Kluyveromyces lactis: one gene and its partner. The protein of the gene in region 1 binds, or shares a complex with, the protein of each later gene. Links are inferred from orthologs where the notes say so. Each region holds a gene or a part of one and is shown on either strand. Other genes may lie near its edges. The genes, in order: ORC1 and ORC5.

Region 1 (4,381 bases):
TCAACGGTTTCATCTTGCCCGAAGCGGGAGGGTAAAGAATGAATAAACACGGTAAAATAGTAGTTAAAAAAATGCATCCTTTATTATATCTTTCTATCTTATAATTAAATAGTTGAAAAAGCAGTTTCATATTCTACTTAACCGCTACGCTACATGACAACCTAAGTAGCAATTATAATAGCAGCAAAGGCGTCTTGAAGGCATATACTAAAATGTCTTCAACATTTCATCTTCATGCAAGCATTGCTCCGCATCTTCCATGGAAATATTTAATTTGATCGTCGAGAGCCTCTCATTCTTCAAATATTGCCTTACTACAACACCTGCATCCAATAATTGCAATAAAATATAGTCCCAAGACACGGCCCTTAACTGTTCCTTTGTATCAACAGAATCATTTTGGAATAAAATCCGTTTCAACTCTAAAATGTATTTGTTATTCCCATTGACATCAATGAGGAGCCTCATTTCTTCTACGATATCACCAAGTTGTACGTCAGTTTGCTTCTTCTTAATTAAATTGATTAATGCGTATAGGAAAAGTTTTCCGCTAAATGACAGACCAGATATGAATTGTTGTTCCGGAGAGGTCGAACTTTCGTTTAATGCCTTGGTAATATGCTTAATTTCTACACTCTGTAATTCTTCATTTCCTGTACCATTGCCACTAGTATCTTTTTTGGAATTGACTAGTCGCTCATATCTAAGCCTCTTTAAGTAATCATTTTCCGCATATTCTACCGCTCTTTTGACCACCTTTAAAGCTCTCCGCACATCACCACTGACACTAGCAATTTTTCTTGATGCAATCTCAATGGCATCAGGATTAATCCTAAGTTTTAGTCGTTTATAGTTAGAGAAGTCTTTTCGCTTTTCTTCTTCATCAGTTTCTATAGTACTACTATCCGGAGAGATCATGTACGAACTCCCTGTCTCCGGGTCGACATAGAAACTAGATTCGTTCAAATATTTAAGTCTCAAATTGATGATTGTTCTAAGCTCTTCATGCGTGTAACCAGTGAACATAATTCTAGTAAAACCAATTCTGGACGAAATCTTGTTACCAAGATGGCGTTCGGGGAGATCTAAGGTGTTTGCGACAGCTACAACAATAAGTTTCGCATTTGAATAGGTAGCCCAGTTAAAGAAGTTGTACATTACATCTTGGCTCTTGCTAACTAATGCATCAAGCTCATCCAATAACACAACGATAGGACGTTTTTTCGTAGCTGGAACTTTGTTAAAATAAAACTCCAGAGATTCCATGGCAGCTCCAGATGTAAGCTTTTCTCCAGATATTTTTTGCCAAAAGACTTCATAACTATCACTTGCTTTGACAATCTTTAAACCATTGATTTCAATGTATTGGAATCTTGGAAGTTCTTTTTGGTCTGCAGATGTCATTAAATCCTTAACTACCTCTCGAACCGTCAAAGTTTTACCAACGCCTGGCGTCCCGGCAATGTAAATACTGGTGCTAGTGCCTGCTTCAATTGCACTGTAAAGTGAGAGGTATATACTTGCAAATTCATTTTCTCTTGCCGGAAGATAATTGTCGAAATCAGCAGCTTTGACAATTTCTTCTTTGCTATTCCTTGAGTTCAATTGCTTCTTCACCTTAGAAAAAATAGTCTCCATTTTGCCTTTAGCAGAAACTGTTCTGAATCTCTCCTCTAATGCAGCTATATCCAAATCATTATTATGCCTTTGGAAAATATCGTTCAAGTCAGGAATATCCTTCGGATTCTTATACCGTTTGGAAAATGGAGTATATGCCTTTTTAGCGCGCACTATATTATTCTTAAAGAACTTTCTAGGAGATGAATGAACTGCTGATGGCTGCAATGGAGTCTGTGATTTTACTGGTGAAATGGGTATATCTGGTTTAATAGATCTCACCTTTTTCTTGGCAGGTTCTACAATTGCAAGCTCTTCTGCAGACTGGTAATCTTCAAACTCTTCATCACTGTCCGAAGAGGATGCGTTTGCAAACTCTTCTTTACTTTCGTGATATTCAGATAAATCCGATTCATTATCTGATATAGCTTCCTTTTCGTTAACAATAGTAGATGCAATGCGTTGGACTTCAGCGTTGGTTTTGCTCACTGTTTGTTGAAAGCTTTTTTTGCTTGGTGTGTTGTCGGACTGCAATTTCGTCGCCACTACCTTCTCTCGTGCGTGGACCTTGGATTTATTTAAAGGTTTTGGAAGCTTGGGTAAAGTAATATCACGCAAATACTCCAGAGACACCTTAGGATTCGAGGAACGTATTTTTTCTTCAAAGAAATGTATATCTAAATCCGCCAGATTAGTTCCTGAAGGCAAGCATGCAGATCGACATAAAAACATATTAGAATCCATTTTCCCTTCATTGACAGAGTCTAAATACTCCTTTTCATTTTTAATATTAGCTACAAATTGCAAGTCCCGTAGATAAATCTCTGAAAGCTCAGCTGTCAAATACAATTCGTTCTTTATCGATTGTGACGCGAAGGTTTCCTCAAAAAATTTGTCACCTTTTTCCTTATTAGTCTCATAAAACTCTCCATCAAGCTGTTTATATCTTTCCGCAGCATTGATCTCGTACCAACTCAAATAGTTCAAACACCAGAGTTCTACGTAATTGCTTGTATTCAATCGCACCTCATGGATCATATACGCTGATAACTCGTCTGCACCCTCTACCTTGCACACAATCGTAACACCAGGATAAAGTCTGACTCCATCGTATCGTACCAAATTAATCACTTCATGTTCTGTAGCATCTCCTCTTCTTCTTCGCCTAGGAGTTTCAGCAATGAGATTCCCCTTCAAGTCTGTCTTCTGTATTTCCCATTGAACTTCAAACTCAGCTAACGTTGACGCCATGCCTAATAAACTCGCTACCACGGAATAAAAAGGAAAAATAATCAGATAACCGTTAAAATGCAGTAATTCCTTCCTAAACTAGTAGTAGTTACTTGCTGGCCAAGTATGTTGAAATGACAGCTACCTGTTTCCGTAGCATTCTTTTATCTCATAGCATATTGGTTGTTACACGGTTCCTCTGTTTACTGAATTAAGATCGATCTTGAAACATCAAATACGTGTAAAATGATACATAGTTTTCCCATTCCTGACGTCTAATTTTAAACCTTGAACCCTGGCAGAAACAGATCAAGAGATTTATCTCAAGAGTGATGACATGATAAACAGAATGAATTCTGCCAGTCAATTAACGAAGGTGAAGCAGATAAACACAGAAGAATAAAGGCAGCTGGCCTGCTGGAAAAAAAATTGAACAATTTCCCACGTTGATAGAGTCATACATAAGAAGCTTTTAGGAGCTTTATAAAAAGAAATGAGGTTTGGAAGTGTCTTGGCGAGGAATATATCGTTATGGAAATACTTAAAAGTGACCCTAGGACACCTCAACGCATTTGATAAGATGATGTTATGGCTGCGAGTTATAACTTCAGTGGGAATTATCGTTTTTGTCCTTGTTTTGACTGCTATTTCTGCCGCATCACCAAATTCGTTATATTTAGGACGATTGGACACTTCAAATGTTAACATTTTGCAGGGACTATTTGATAAGCTCAGCAGTTCTGTTGTCAGTGCAAAACTGTCTGATATTAATAACGGAGCAGGACTCACAACAGCAGAGATTCTTTTACTCACGCGGTATGTAGACTCACAGGTCCACGACGTGCCCGATTATATAAAGACAGGAGTTTACGGATGGTGCAGCATGAAACATGCTTCTCAAGAATTATGGCAGCCTGACGGTACTTGGAAGGAGGAACATAACTCTACAAAGGCTATGACTTGTCACAGGGAAGGAGCGCAATACTTATTGAACTATAGAAAGCTATTAGATGACCTAGGTTTGGGAATAGTGTTAAGTTACGCATACGGATATACTTACAACGATGGTGTTTTGGATCACGACAATGCAGAAAGTGCAAAATACAACAAATTTTTGGCTGCTTTGTCGAGAAGAAAAGTCAACATGGTCAATCTACTTTACGTCGTGGCAGTATTGGAAGTTTTCATATTGGGATCGATTGTCTTGTACTACATGATCAGGAATAGACCTGAACAAACCATGAAAACCAAAATCCTCCTGCATTCTATATCACTAATGAAACTATTGGTGTTTATTTGCTCTTTAGTAGCAGTCATAAACTTTACTATACTATCAATCAACATTCGTCAAAAGATTTCGAACGAACTTGATTCGTTTGGGTTTTCATATCATCTTGGAACTGGTTGGTTCACATGCTTGTGGATCTTTGCATTTTTCAATATTATATCGTGTCTCGTCTGGACGGGTTTCGAGTGGTGCATCACGAATAATGATCCGCCAGTGCCAGCGGAAGAGACTTCATCCATGCTTGGC
Region 2 (3,459 bases), on another chromosome or scaffold:
GCAGACAGAAACAAACTGTTAATCAAAACTCAGAAGCGTTCCGTTGAGAATTCTTACGCCTATGGGCAGTATCTCATGAAAGCGATCAGATCTAAACCAATGTTTGCCTATCTAGACTTGAAAATTGATAGATATTGGGATGTCCTGATTTGGATGGATAAGTATAATTATGGTGGTAGAGCATGTCTACAGATTGAAGATAAAGAAGTTCAGAGTTTCCAGGCTTATTCTCATTGGCATATAAAGGATTTCTTACCTGCAATTTATCAGCAAGAGTTTGATGATTGGTTAGTAGTCATACTGGATAGTATGGTTAAGACAAAGGAAGCCTATCATGAGCGAAATGCATCCACACAAAGATTAACCCAATTACCAAAGAATACACTGGCTGATAGTGACGTAGATAGTCAAACTGACTCTCTAGGCGGTTTTACCCATAATTTTTCAAAAGCTCTCATCAAAAGAGCAGAGAAACTTTACAAGAACCAACAGGAATATATTCTTGATCCTAACTTCGGCAAGGATTATCTATCTCCCACAATTCCTGGGTCGCATCTAGTTGTGAAAAATCCGCTTCTTGAGTTGGTCAAATACTTATCACATATTTTATCACTTTCCAGTAATCATTTATTAGAAGGAAGGGCGCTAAGGAAAGAACTCCTAAAGACATTTGAAATACGCGAATTCGACAGATTAGCTGAATTCAAGGATCCAAGTACATCTTTTGTGATCCCTAGCTTCATATGTGAGCATTGTTCTTATATATCAGATATTGATATTTGCAGAGAAAGTATGGAACGAGTCTTCATATGCCAGAGCTGCAACAGATCCTTGAATAAAAATCTCATTGAAGAGCATGTGATCGAACGACTTCAAGCCCAAGTTGCATCGTTTATTACCCAAGATGTTAAGTGCAATAAATGTCATAAGATCAAAGAGGATGCAATGTCACCTTATTGTCCATGTTCAGGAAAATGGGAACTTGCCGTATCTAAGGAATCTTTCATGGCACAGTTACAAATTTTCAAGAACTTGGCGGAAAGCTTTGACTTTAGAACATTGAAAGAAACTTTGAATGATTTCTTATAGGTTCAAGTCCCTGGCATCTGTTGTATTATCTTTTAGTCTGCTGATGTGTTTACATTTAACATTTATGAGTGTTTATGTGTTAAAATAGATCTGAAAATAAAAAATATATATACACATAAAGGAAATTGTTCTGAACTTAGCATGGTTGAATTCTTCCCACCTGAATGAAGACGCACTATGTGTTATTTACTGCGAATCAAGTGACCCAGAATGGTACGACCTGATGTTAGATATAGAGAAGAACAACTAGATTTTTTGGAAGCGTTTGTCGATGCCGATCCAAAACTGAGCCCGCCAATCTTGTTCATAGAAGGGCCGCATGGAAGTGGTAAGACACATACCCTCAAGAAGTTTTTTGCTTGCAATGAAGAAATCATGAACATTTTACTACCAGCGAAAGATCTGATATATAGCAAATCCACCTGTCAGCGGTTGGCTACATGTCTGCGTCAATTGCTACTGAAACAATTTCCTAGTGTGGAAACCACTGATCTTGATCCATTTGAAGCCGAGGACGTATATCTTTTGCAGAAATTTATCAATAAATTGTTTATCCGATTTAATCACTTGGTAGAACGCGTTAACCTTTATGTTATACTCGATGGGCTGGATGATAATTCACAGGTGAACTTGGAAACACCTACGCAACTCATGGCATTACCTGGATCTATTCTTCCACAAGCGATGATTCAACTTCGGTTAATAATCTCGTTCTCCAAATCCTCATTCTTGTCCAATTACTCAACGTTCAAGGTTCCCACGATCTTCTTCCCCAAATATAAACCACTGGAGATTGAATATATTGTATCACAAACACCAGGTTTCTCGGATGACCCGCTGTTATTGGAAAAAATGGATGAGATAGGATGCGGAAATACAGAACAATTCAGGAGTGAAATCTTCGAAAAATATATCCATTTCCTGATAGAATCATTAATTGTATATACAGGTTATGACCCCACTGCACTGATAGACATAATGAGAATTAAATGGAGGTGCTTTGTACGATCTTTAAATCAAGAGAACATTAAAAATACAGTACAGTTATACAAATCTAACCTGGAGCTATTCAATAAACCTAACGAAAGACTAATACCACAAACCAGCCGTTCGGATCAAAATTCACTAAGTGGTACCGGGTCTGTTGGTTATTCAAGCCATTCTCTTTGTTTCATGGCAAAATATCTTCTAATAGCCGCATATTTGGCATCATATTTGAATCATCGGTACGACTCTAAAGTCTTCTCCAAGAAGAGTCATCTAAGGGGGGGTAGATCATCTTATGGGAGAAGAAGCAAACCAGCGAATAACCCGAGATACCTTCAACCATCAGGCTTTTCTCTTGAGAGAATGCTGGCAATTTTCCAATCGATATACCCAGTCAGAGTTTCGAAGGAATTGTCTCCAGATTTCTTTCAAAGAGATGTTCATATGAAAGCAAATGTGGAAGTCTACGAAAACGTGTCCGAATTGATTACTTCTCAACTTCTTACCGGTCTGAACATGCACAAATTGGGGTATCTTCACGAAAGACTTAAGTTTAAAGTTAACGTCACTTGGGATTACATATTACTAGTGGCTGGCAGTGTTGATTTTGATATTTCAGAATATTTCAGTGATGTTGTGGAATAAACTCGGCATTTGTAGTAGTTATATGATTGTTGCATGCCGTTCTTTTTTTTTCGATCTCATTTTACTCTATGGAATGCTTCTTCAAATTTAGGTATTTTTTATAGACATTGAAATTGATACGTAGAGAGAAACAACCATAGATTCAGATATTTGACATACCAGCAAGCAGAAAGCAGCAGCTTTCATTGAGTATGAATGTAAATAAGGGATCATCTGATCAAAATGATAGATCTGTAATTACCAAATCTAAGGATAAGCTTCAGGTCAAAAAGACTGACTTCAACGCAGATAGCTATGACGATCACTTCGAGGAATCAGACTACCAGGACATTTCTTGCAGCGACGACAGTAGCGATAATGAAGAAGAAATAGAAGATTTCGTACGAAGAGGTCAAACCGAAACCGATGAAATCTTTGATGGAAATTCCTCAGAGATTTCAGAATCTGACAGCGCTGTTGCTGATGATTCAGTATCAGAAGAAGAAATAAATGGTAGTAACGTACAAATAGAAGCCTTCAACATGGAAGAAGAACTGAAAAATGGGACCGTAGACAAGGTAGGGAATGCTACGGGAAAAACTATAAATGATGATTTTGAAAATGAGGACCAATGGATCCAAGACTTTTCTTCGAAGGAGTCAATTAAAAGGGCAAGAGAAGCTCATGAAAATAGCCAAACTCTACAACGGAAGAAGAGGGCTAGGATGTTATACAGACTAGAAGAAGTTCTCGAACAAT

What was found.
Region 2: ORC1 (region 1) and ORC5 share a complex: the UniProt entries of both Saccharomyces cerevisiae proteins name them as parts of the origin recognition complex. The link is inferred for Kluyveromyces lactis from reciprocal best matches to the Saccharomyces cerevisiae genes ORC1 and ORC5.

The regions. Positions count from the first base shown.
Region 1 is NC_006038.1:453,204-457,584, reverse strand, and holds ORC1 (origin recognition complex subunit 1), read right to left. Parts: upstream 2,869-4,381; coding exon 208-2,868; downstream 1-207. Other genes in the region: ECM7 (Ecm7p), read left to right, coding at 3,341-4,381. UniProt on the Saccharomyces cerevisiae protein: Component of the origin recognition complex (ORC) that binds origins of replication. It has a role in both chromosomal replication and mating type transcriptional silencing. Binds to the ARS consensus sequence (ACS) of origins of replication.
Region 2 is NC_006039.1:234,743-238,201, forward strand, and holds ORC5 (origin recognition complex subunit 5), read left to right. Parts: upstream 1-1,299; coding exon 1,300-2,721; downstream 2,722-3,459. Other genes in the region: POL2 (DNA polymerase epsilon catalytic subunit), read left to right, coding at 1-1,089; U5 snRNP complex subunit LIN1, read left to right, coding at 2,913-3,459. UniProt on the Saccharomyces cerevisiae protein: Component of the origin recognition complex (ORC) that binds origins of replication. It has a role in both chromosomal replication and mating type transcriptional silencing. Binds to the ARS consensus sequence (ACS) of origins of replication.